Linked DNA regions of Saccharomyces cerevisiae S288C. The main gene of each other region encodes a partner of the protein of the gene in region 3 in a complex. Each region holds a gene or a part of one and is shown on either strand. Other genes may lie near its edges.

The links. The genes of interacting proteins can lie anywhere in the genome.
Region 1: RVB2 (region 3) and IES4 share a complex: the UniProt entries of both Saccharomyces cerevisiae proteins name them as parts of the chromatin-remodeling INO80 complex.
Region 2: RVB2 (region 3) and SWC7 share a complex: the UniProt entries of both Saccharomyces cerevisiae proteins name them as parts of the SWR1 chromatin remodeling complex.

The regions. Positions count from the first base shown.
Region 1 is NC_001147.6:687,637-690,474, reverse strand, and holds IES4 (Ies4p), read right to left. Parts: upstream 852-2,838; coding exon 501-851; downstream 1-500. Other genes in the region: MSB1 (Msb1p), read right to left, coding at 1,295-2,838.
Region 2 is NC_001144.5:892,492-895,312, forward strand, and holds SWC7 (Swc7p), read right to left. Parts: upstream 900-2,821; coding exon 501-899; downstream 1-500. Other genes in the region: Elongator subunit IKI3, read right to left, coding at 1-409; VAC14 (Vac14p), read left to right, coding at 1,137-2,821. UniProt on the Saccharomyces cerevisiae protein: Component of the SWR1 complex which mediates the ATP-dependent exchange of histone H2A for the H2A variant HZT1 leading to transcriptional regulation of selected genes by chromatin remodeling.
Region 3 is NC_001148.4:101,669-105,147, reverse strand, and holds RVB2 (RuvB family ATP-dependent DNA helicase reptin), read right to left. Parts: upstream 1,917-3,479; coding exon 501-1,916; downstream 1-500. Other genes in the region: VMA11 (H(+)-transporting V0 sector ATPase subunit c'), read left to right, coding at 1-202; putative serine/threonine protein kinase ENV7, read left to right, coding at 2,446-3,479. UniProt on the Saccharomyces cerevisiae protein: DNA helicase which participates in several chromatin remodeling complexes, including the SWR1 and the INO80 complexes.

The DNA of each region.
Region 1 (2,838 bases), on a different chromosome or scaffold from region 3:
CAGACGCGCCGCTTCTTTTAGTGTCGTTTGGTAACCGCTTTTTCTTAAGCTGGCAGAGACCGCCAAAAATAAGAGAGTCGCTTGTAGTGGGACAAATAATGAACAGAGAGGCTTTTTGATACCAGTATCGTTGAGTTGGGAATGAAATGAAATATAACGATGCAATCGTCGCCATTCCTGTCAGAATATAATCGACGGTCATGTTATATAATTGTTTTATAAACGCCCACTTCTTGGCTGTATCTTTTATAATGTCCTTTTTTCCTGAAGAGGGTTTCCATCTAATTTTCTTTTACAGTCTGTAGCCTTACTTCTGGCCCTTTAACTAAATACATTTGATTTATATTGCATATTTACTCATACAATTGTATATTTGTTGTTCTTTTTTGGTCGGCTACCAGATTTAGTACTTAATGTAACCAATTTGTGAATTTCATAAATGACGTGCCAAACTAGAAAGTGTGGGGCCCTGAGAACAACTTTAAGCTGTTGACATTACCTTATGAGTCCAGTCCATCCTCTCCTTCTTTTTCAAGTTGTTTTACTTCAGGATCCTCATCTGCTGGTTCTTTTTTCCTTGTAGCTTTGTCATCTGATCCTTTAACGTCAGATGCAGTAAACTCGCTTCCCCTTTGACGTTCTTCTCTTACGTCTCTTCTTATCCAGCCGGTGAAATTTACCTTATAACCACTGAAGCTCTTGATCTCTATGGCTTTATTCTTGTAATCCCACGGAAGTACAGGTTTGCTATTATCTCTCGAATTGGCAGAGGGAGGGCTTGTATCCTCTATTTTAGGGTTATTGGCTAGTTGTTCTTGCGATTCTGATAAAACACTACTTTCTTGGGACATACCACAATTACTCGAGAAATTGGATTTATCTTCCGGCCAATATAAGTAAAGAATGTGTTGGCATTATAGTACATTTTGTTGATATCTTTAAAATTACTTGGATTATGAGAATGATTACCCGTCAACTGCTTGGTAAAGTTTTAACGTTCAAGAAAAGCTCTAGACGGCGTAACGCACCTTTTGTTATGAGCGTTAGAAAAATTAGTGACTAAGAGGATGAGATGATAAAATGCATATGATGTTGAATATGGAAAATAAAATGTTATATTCTTACTCAACGTAACCTGCCATTTGTAGGAGTTAAAAATTATGTAGTAGACTTAAATCTCTCCTTATTGTCCTAAATACTTGTAATTACATACACATATATATGTATAAATATTCGGGAAATTTTACAACTGTTGAGATTTCATAAAGATGATAATTTCAGATACAAAGTGTTTCTATATGCCGAAATTTCCGCTTCTAATGTTATCATATAGCTTCTTTCTCTCCTGTCTTTTGTTAATATTTCCATGCAGTTTGTTTCCCTGAGGAGCTTCTGGTAGGTAAAATTCACTATTTACAGCCCCCATAGGCTGAGCGGGTACGGAATAGGCATTCTGCTGCATGCCTTGGGGAAAACTACGCCTGTTAGCACCAGCTGTGTAACGTATCGGCTCCTGAGCTGGTACCATATGGGACATCATTGGAGGTGCTCGCATAGGTGGAGGTCCATTGTAGTATTCCGCAGGTACGACAGGTTGAGCTTGCGGTGAATACCTATTAACGTGCTGCTGTGGATATTGATTGGGGCGAACTCCCTTTGGTACCATTTGCGGCGGATTATTGCTCCACTTTCCATCTAACATATGAGCATTGCCTGCCCGGCTGTTCCCATAAGCATTTGTTGTGTTATTATGATACGGCGGCTGAGTTACCTTGTAAGTATTTACAGGGTGCTGGTGGTTAGGGTTCATTCGTTCCATTTGTTGATATAATGGAACGTTAGATGGAAGATTGGGCACACCTTGTTTTACTGGCACCATATGTTGGGGAATAGGTGAAGCATCTGCCCGTTGATTTCTGGACTTTAGTTCTGGGGGCACAATATTGTTTTGGAAGGGACGTTGTTTTTGTTGGTGAGATGGATAATTATGCTGGTCCCGATATGTCATATGTGGTTGATTTGCTAAAACGTGAGCAGGATCATTATACCCAACGGGTACATTAATCGTGTTCTGCTTGAATCCAGCCGAATTGGTGGAGAATTGTGGAGACCTCGCAGGTGAATATGCAGAAGGTGGAACTGGTGCACTTGCAGGCGACATTTCATTTCTACGATCGTTCTGATAGTATTTTTGCTGAACAGGAGATACACAGTCTCCAGGCGCATTTTTATATGGTTTTGGTGTTACCTGTTGAGATGGACTGACTGCACCTTGTAAGACGTTCAGGCGAGACTCATTCGTAAATGCCTTTTTCGAATCCGAATTTGAATAAGTGGGTTGACTAGGCATTCTTGATGCCGGCAAGTTGTTGATATTTGGAGAATAATATGATGATGAATCGTCGTTGACTTTGGATTCCTCAGAAATCTTTCTAGGTTCCGCTAATTTCCTATCAGCGGTGTATTTGGAACTATCAGCGCAAGAATCATTTGTATTTGTACTTAGCTTCAATGAGTGAACGGCGCTTGAATGGCTGCTTTGTAAGTCATCGTCAGTTATATTGGATGGCTTATATTGATCAAACTTTGTCAATGATTCGAAAGTCTCTGCCTCAGTTATGGAGATTTTTACATCGTCTGGCTCATTAATCATCATTTCTTCAACCATACCGTTTAATTCTTCAATAGCTGAGTCGGTAGCTCTTTTCTGGGAATTTTTAAGTTTGTCACTGTCGTCATCATCGTGTTCGTACATTAATTCCGGTATTTCAATCTTAAAGTTTGATGAACCGGTCTCTATTACTGGTAACTGATATTCATCAGGATTAAGTGTGCTAA
Region 2 (2,821 bases), on a different chromosome or scaffold from region 3:
TTTCAATTAAAGTTTCAGCTGGGTCCAAACTGACAGGATCATAAGTGGCTGTAATGATATCACCTTGTTCAAAGACAAAGACTAATTGGTTAATATCCGCAAAATGAACAAAAGATAATAATTTGTCGTCAAAAGTCTGAATGTTGAATGAAGCCAACACATTCCTGGAACCATCCTTCATGAATTGTTGCACTTCAATAGCACCAATATCCGTAGAACCGAGTACACATGTTATACTGTCGGATAATGTATCAAATACCGAGTCTAACAAAGTGAAAGATAAGTCATCTTCATCGCCTTCTGCAGTAGACGCCGTTGGCTTAAATTTACCCTTATTCAAGGTAATAAGATTACGCATATTTGATCTTAGCTCCTGCCTCTTTGACCCACTCTTGTCATGTTCAACCATAAGCCATTAGGCATTTGTACTGTTTCTTGCCTAGGCATCGCTTTTCATTACTATGGAAAGAAAAAAAAATTTGATCATCGTGTTATACGTATTAGATCATGTGCTCCAGCCTTGTCAGCAATGCCTCTTTCAATTGAGGAAGTTCTGTATTCTGTAGCTCATTGATTCTCTGCATGTAGTAGTAATTGGCCAGGTCCACTACAGTCACTGGTTGATCATTCCCTGAAGATTGCGCATTTTTTGGGATTCCGTTTGCGAAGATATCTGTAACCATTGTTTTGAGCCCTCTCAGAGATATGTCGCGGCAGTATTGAGGGCCATATAATTGCACCAACTTGTGTGTCTTGAACTCTACTAGTACGTCATTATCAATGACGGGATCTTTTAACAGCGTTTGCAAATCAACCGACTTATCTCGATGAGCTAGAGTTTGTTGGCGCTGCAAAACTAATTGCAGCAACAATAACACAACGTTTGAGGGGCAATCCATCGTACGAATCTTGAAGTCCTATCAGCAGCTAACGAAGTAGAGAATTAACTGTAAATGCAGAAACAAAGCAGGATTACACCGTGATTTGATGAAATAGCACGTTCCCTTTGTTTGTCTTAAATCGCGTTTCCGCGATGCTCGAAAAAGAACACGAGAGGAAGGTTCATAGAGAAGCAGAAGGAGGAACCTTTTGATGCTGCTGTGCTTATCTGCTCAGGCTACAACAGGAACTGGAACATGGAAAAATCGATTGCCAAAGGTTTAAGCGACAAACTATACGAAAAACGGAAGGCTGCCGCCTTGGAGTTGGAAAAGTTGGTCAAACAATGCGTTCTAGAAGGGGACTATGATCGTATTGACAAGATAATAGACGAACTATGCAGAGACTATGCATACGCTTTGCATCAGCCCATGGCTAGAAATGCAGGATTAATGGGCTTGGCTGCCACAGCAATTGCTTTAGGAATAAACGATGTTGGCCGTTACTTGAGGAATATTCTTCCTCCAGTTCTCGCATGTTTTGGCGACCAGAATGACCAAGTAAGATTTTATGCGTGTGAGAGTTTGTACAATATTGCAAAGATTGCGAAGGGTGAAATACTGGTCTATTTCAATGAAATATTTGACGTACTCTGTAAAATTAGTGCTGATACAGAAAACTCGGTCCGAGGAGCAGCTGAACTATTAGATCGGTTGATAAAAGATATTGTTGCTGAAAGAGCATCCAATTACATAAGCATTGTAAATAATGGATCGCATGGTTTGCTTCCAGCCATAAAAACGGATCCAATCAGCGGGGATGTCTACCAAGAAGAATATGAGCAAGATAATCAATTGGCGTTCTCTTTACCAAAATTTATTCCTTTATTAACAGAGAGAATTTACGCCATTAACCCTGATACGCGTGTTTTTTTAGTTGACTGGCTTAAAGTCTTGCTCAATACCCCAGGACTAGAGCTCATATCGTATCTACCATCATTTCTTGGCGGGTTATTCACGTTCTTGGGCGATTCTCATAAAGATGTCAGAACAGTTACACACACCCTTATGGACTCACTACTTCACGAAGTCGACCGCATTTCAAAATTACAAACTGAAATTAAAATGAAGAGACTGGAAAGACTGAAAATGCTGGAAGATAAATACAATAACAGTTCTACTCCAACGAAAAAGGCCGATGGTGCACTTATTGCTGAAAAGAAGAAAACTTTAATGACTGCATTAGGTGGGTTATCCAAACCTCTGAGTATGGAGACTGATGATACCAAATTATCTAATACTAATGAGACAGATGATGAAAGACACTTGACAAGCCAGGAGCAGCTGCTAGATAGCGAGGCAACTAGCCAAGAACCTCTTCGCGATGGCGAAGAATATATACCTGGTCAAGATATCAACCTCAATTTCCCAGAGGTTATTACCGTTCTTGTGAACAATTTGGCATCATCTGAGGCAGAGATTCAATTGATTGCATTACACTGGATTCAGGTTATTTTATCCATTTCTCCAAATGTGTTTATCCCCTTCCTTTCAAAAATTCTTTCTGTGCTTTTAAAGCTATTGAGCGATTCGGATCCGCATATTACTGAAATTGCTCAGCTGGTGAACGGTCAATTACTCTCATTGTGCAGCTCATATGTGGGAAAAGAGACAGACGGGAAAATTGCATACGGGCCAATCGTTAATAGCTTAACTCTACAGTTTTTCGATAGTAGGATTGATGCCAAGATTGCCTGCTTGGATTGGCTCATCTTAATTTATCACAAGGCTCCAAACCAAATCTTGAAACATAACGACAGCATGTTCCTAACTTTGTTGAAGTCATTATCAAATAGAGACTCGGTGCTAATCGAGAAAGCTTTAAGTCTCTTACAGAGTTTATGTTCTGACTCAAATGATAATTATTTACGTCAGTTTCTTCA
Region 3 (3,479 bases):
CTTGAGTTGTGGGCTCTGTGTGGGATTTGCCTGTTTGAGTAGTGGCTACGCCATTGGTATGGTCGGTGACGTTGGTGTTAGAAAGTATATGCACCAACCAAGGCTTTTTGTCGGTATCGTTTTGATTCTAATTTTCTCTGAAGTTTTAGGGTTATATGGTATGATTGTAGCTTTGATTTTGAACACTAGAGGCTCTGAATGAGTCAAAAGTTTAAAAAAAAAAAATAATTACAATAAAAAAATTTTTTCTCATATACACGCACCAACCCCCTTCATATATGTATAGAATATAGTATATATTATAATACTGCTATCTATACATTTGATAATCGATAATTATTCGAAAGAAGGTATATCATACGGGGTTCTGAACGTGCTGGCCAACTGCTGCCTATTTTAGGTGTACTTTTTTACTTCTTATCACCAACAATCACGCAAACATAAAATTTTTATTTATACATATATATTTGATGCAATTTCTGCCTTAAAGTACAAAATGCTTATTCCGTAGTATCCATGGCATCAGGGTCTGCTGATTTAGCAATGGATATTTGAACGTTGCCCTGATCATCAATATATTGTGACTCGTTCTCTTGAACATACTTAACAGATCTAGCGCTGTCCAAAAATAGCAAATAAGCCCTTTTGACATCTTCCACTTCAACAGTGTTGTTTTTTCTCTTCATTGCAATTTGCTGAGCAACAGAGATTAAATTACTGCTGTAACGCAAACTAGTTTCCACACCTGTTTTGGTCAATAGATCTAAGGCATCGGATGACAGTTCAACTTCCTCCTCTTGTGCTCTTATAGATAAAATTGTCTTAATCTCCTGCTCATTATAACTTTTAGTTGTAATAATAATTGACCTATCCAAAAGATCGAGAGGTAACCCATGTGGAGATTTGTAATTAGTCCCTCTGGTTTTGGAAACTCCTCTATTTGTAGCCATCATGACGATTGGGGCAAACTCATCTTCCAAAGCCCTATTTATAAAGGAAAAACATTCTATATCCAACATGTGGACTTCGTCGATAAATAATACACCAGGAACAATTTCTGCTTTACCTTCTTCTTTCCATTCTGCCACTTTTGTGTTTATCTGGTCTCTTACCTCTGACCTAATTTCACCGGTGTCACCAGTAAATAATGCCAAAAATCCTTGTGTTCTTGAATTAATAACATCAATTTCATGCAGTGACACCGTGTGAACCACTGTTTTCCTTTTTTGCAGTTCGCCTTCCGGACATTGAACAAATCTGGTATCAGCACCCATGGCATCATAATCCCTAGATCTAGCAAAGGATCTGCCTAGCTTGGTAATCTTCCCACTAGCTTTATCAATAGAAATAACATCGCCAGCCAATACCTTTTCTTTAGTTAGGCCATCAATCATTTTATTGCCTAATTCATAAATTGTTTCCATATCGGTAGTTTTAATAGTCAATTTTCCTTGTTTGTGTCCACCAGTAATAGATCTATCAATTTGAATTTCCACGACTTCACCTTCAATCAATTCTGTCTCCTCCTTGATTTTGATACCGATGGATTTCCTAAAAGCTTGAGTTAGTGCTTCAGTTTTACTCAATTCTAAAGAAAAGATTTCTGAGCCCGCAATAGCAGTGAATGGTACATCTTTACCCAGAGACTGGGAAACACCCATGGCAAGAGCGGTCTTACCAGTTGAAGGGGGGCCCGCTACCAAAACAGCCCTACCTGCTATGGTGCCATTTTGAACCATTTTCAATATCACACCAGCAGCACGACGGGCTTGCAATTGCCCAACCATACCTTCGGATGTGGGACGTGGTTGCAAGTTTTCATCTAGACCTAAACCTGTAATATGGGAGTGGGCAGCAATTAAAGATAACGACTTTAAATCTGATGTTTCATTTGGATCACTAGTTTGAATCGACATGCTGACAATTTTTTTTATTTCCTTTCAAAGTAACTTGTGCTAGACTGCTAGAGAAAGTAGTATTGCTGGCTTCAACTAACTGAACTTCTTTCTCTCGTTTCCCGTGTGAATGTACAGTCTTCATTTAGCTTTCATCTTCTATTGAAAACCTTCAAAAAGTTCGCTGAAAAAAATAATTTTCACGTTTCTTTCAAACTGATCACGTGAAAGGGAGTTAAATAGACTTTAATAAGTGTAGAAACAAAGAAGTAAAGAAAACCGCTATATTGGGTCTAACCAATACGACTGATACAACTGTGTTGACCCCCAAAGTTTACATAATTTGCTCTTTTTCTTTTTTGCAAGATCCTTTCTGTTTTGATAAGTCCTGTCTTATGACACCGAGTTAGGGACATTTTCGGTATCTGGTTTTGTAAGATGTTGAACCATACTTTCTCCAAAAAGACGAAACAGAGAGTAGACAAAAAGAGCCTGTAATCTCAGCGACTGACTAGGGATAAAATAACGATTGTACCATCTTATCCGATCAATGATTTCTATTGTATTGGAATTGTTCCAGAACTTGTGCTGCTGTCGCGGATTTTCCGATGCTACTATTAGGGTAAATGATAAACGATATAGGATTCAACGACTACTTGGAGAAGGTGGAATGTCCTTTGTGTATTTGGTACAACTGTCAAAGAATTCTCTGATTATAGACAACGGCATCGCAACACCAGAATTATACGCACTAAAGAAGATTATTTGTCCTAGTGTGGAAAGTATATCCAATGGTATGCGAGAAATTGAAAATTACAAACGGTTTCAAAGTCCTTATGTTATAAAAAGTATCGACTCACAAGTAATGCAGGAAAAAGATGGGTCAAAAACAATTTACATAGTACTACCCTATTATTCATTAGGGAGTTTACAAGACTCTATTAATCGGAGGTTACTCGAGGGCACCTTTGTATCAGAGGCAGAATGCGTAAGGATAATGCTTGGAGTTACAAGAGGTTTACTTTGTTTACATGATCCTGCGTCAAGACAAGATAACGCTACTTCCAGAGTAAATGTCGATGCGGTTTCTATGACTTATAGCGATGAAACGGCGATGCTCCTAGAAGACACCCCCTTAGAGATGGACATGCTTTCCTCCAACTCAGCAGGTTCAATAGCATATGCACATCGCGATATTACACCTTCAAACATTTTGTTCTCTTCAGACGGTTTACCAGTAATTGGTGACCTCGGCTCCTGCTCTCAAGCTGATATAACAATTGAAAACAGACATCAACTCAGCGAACTACAAGAATGGGTCAATGACAATTGTACGTTGCCATATACTCCACCAGAACTTCTGAACTTGAAATTAAATCAGGTTTTGAGCTCTAAGGTTGATATTTGGTCTTTGGGTTGTACGTTCTATACTTTAATGTTCGGTATCTCCCCCTTTGAGCGAGAAGAGCAGATACATGGAGCTTCTTTAACCTACGCTATAAACACTGGTAAGTACAGTTTCCCGAGAAATTCCAGATTTTCTGAGGGGCTTTTGAGTGTAATCAAGAAATGCATTCAAGTGGA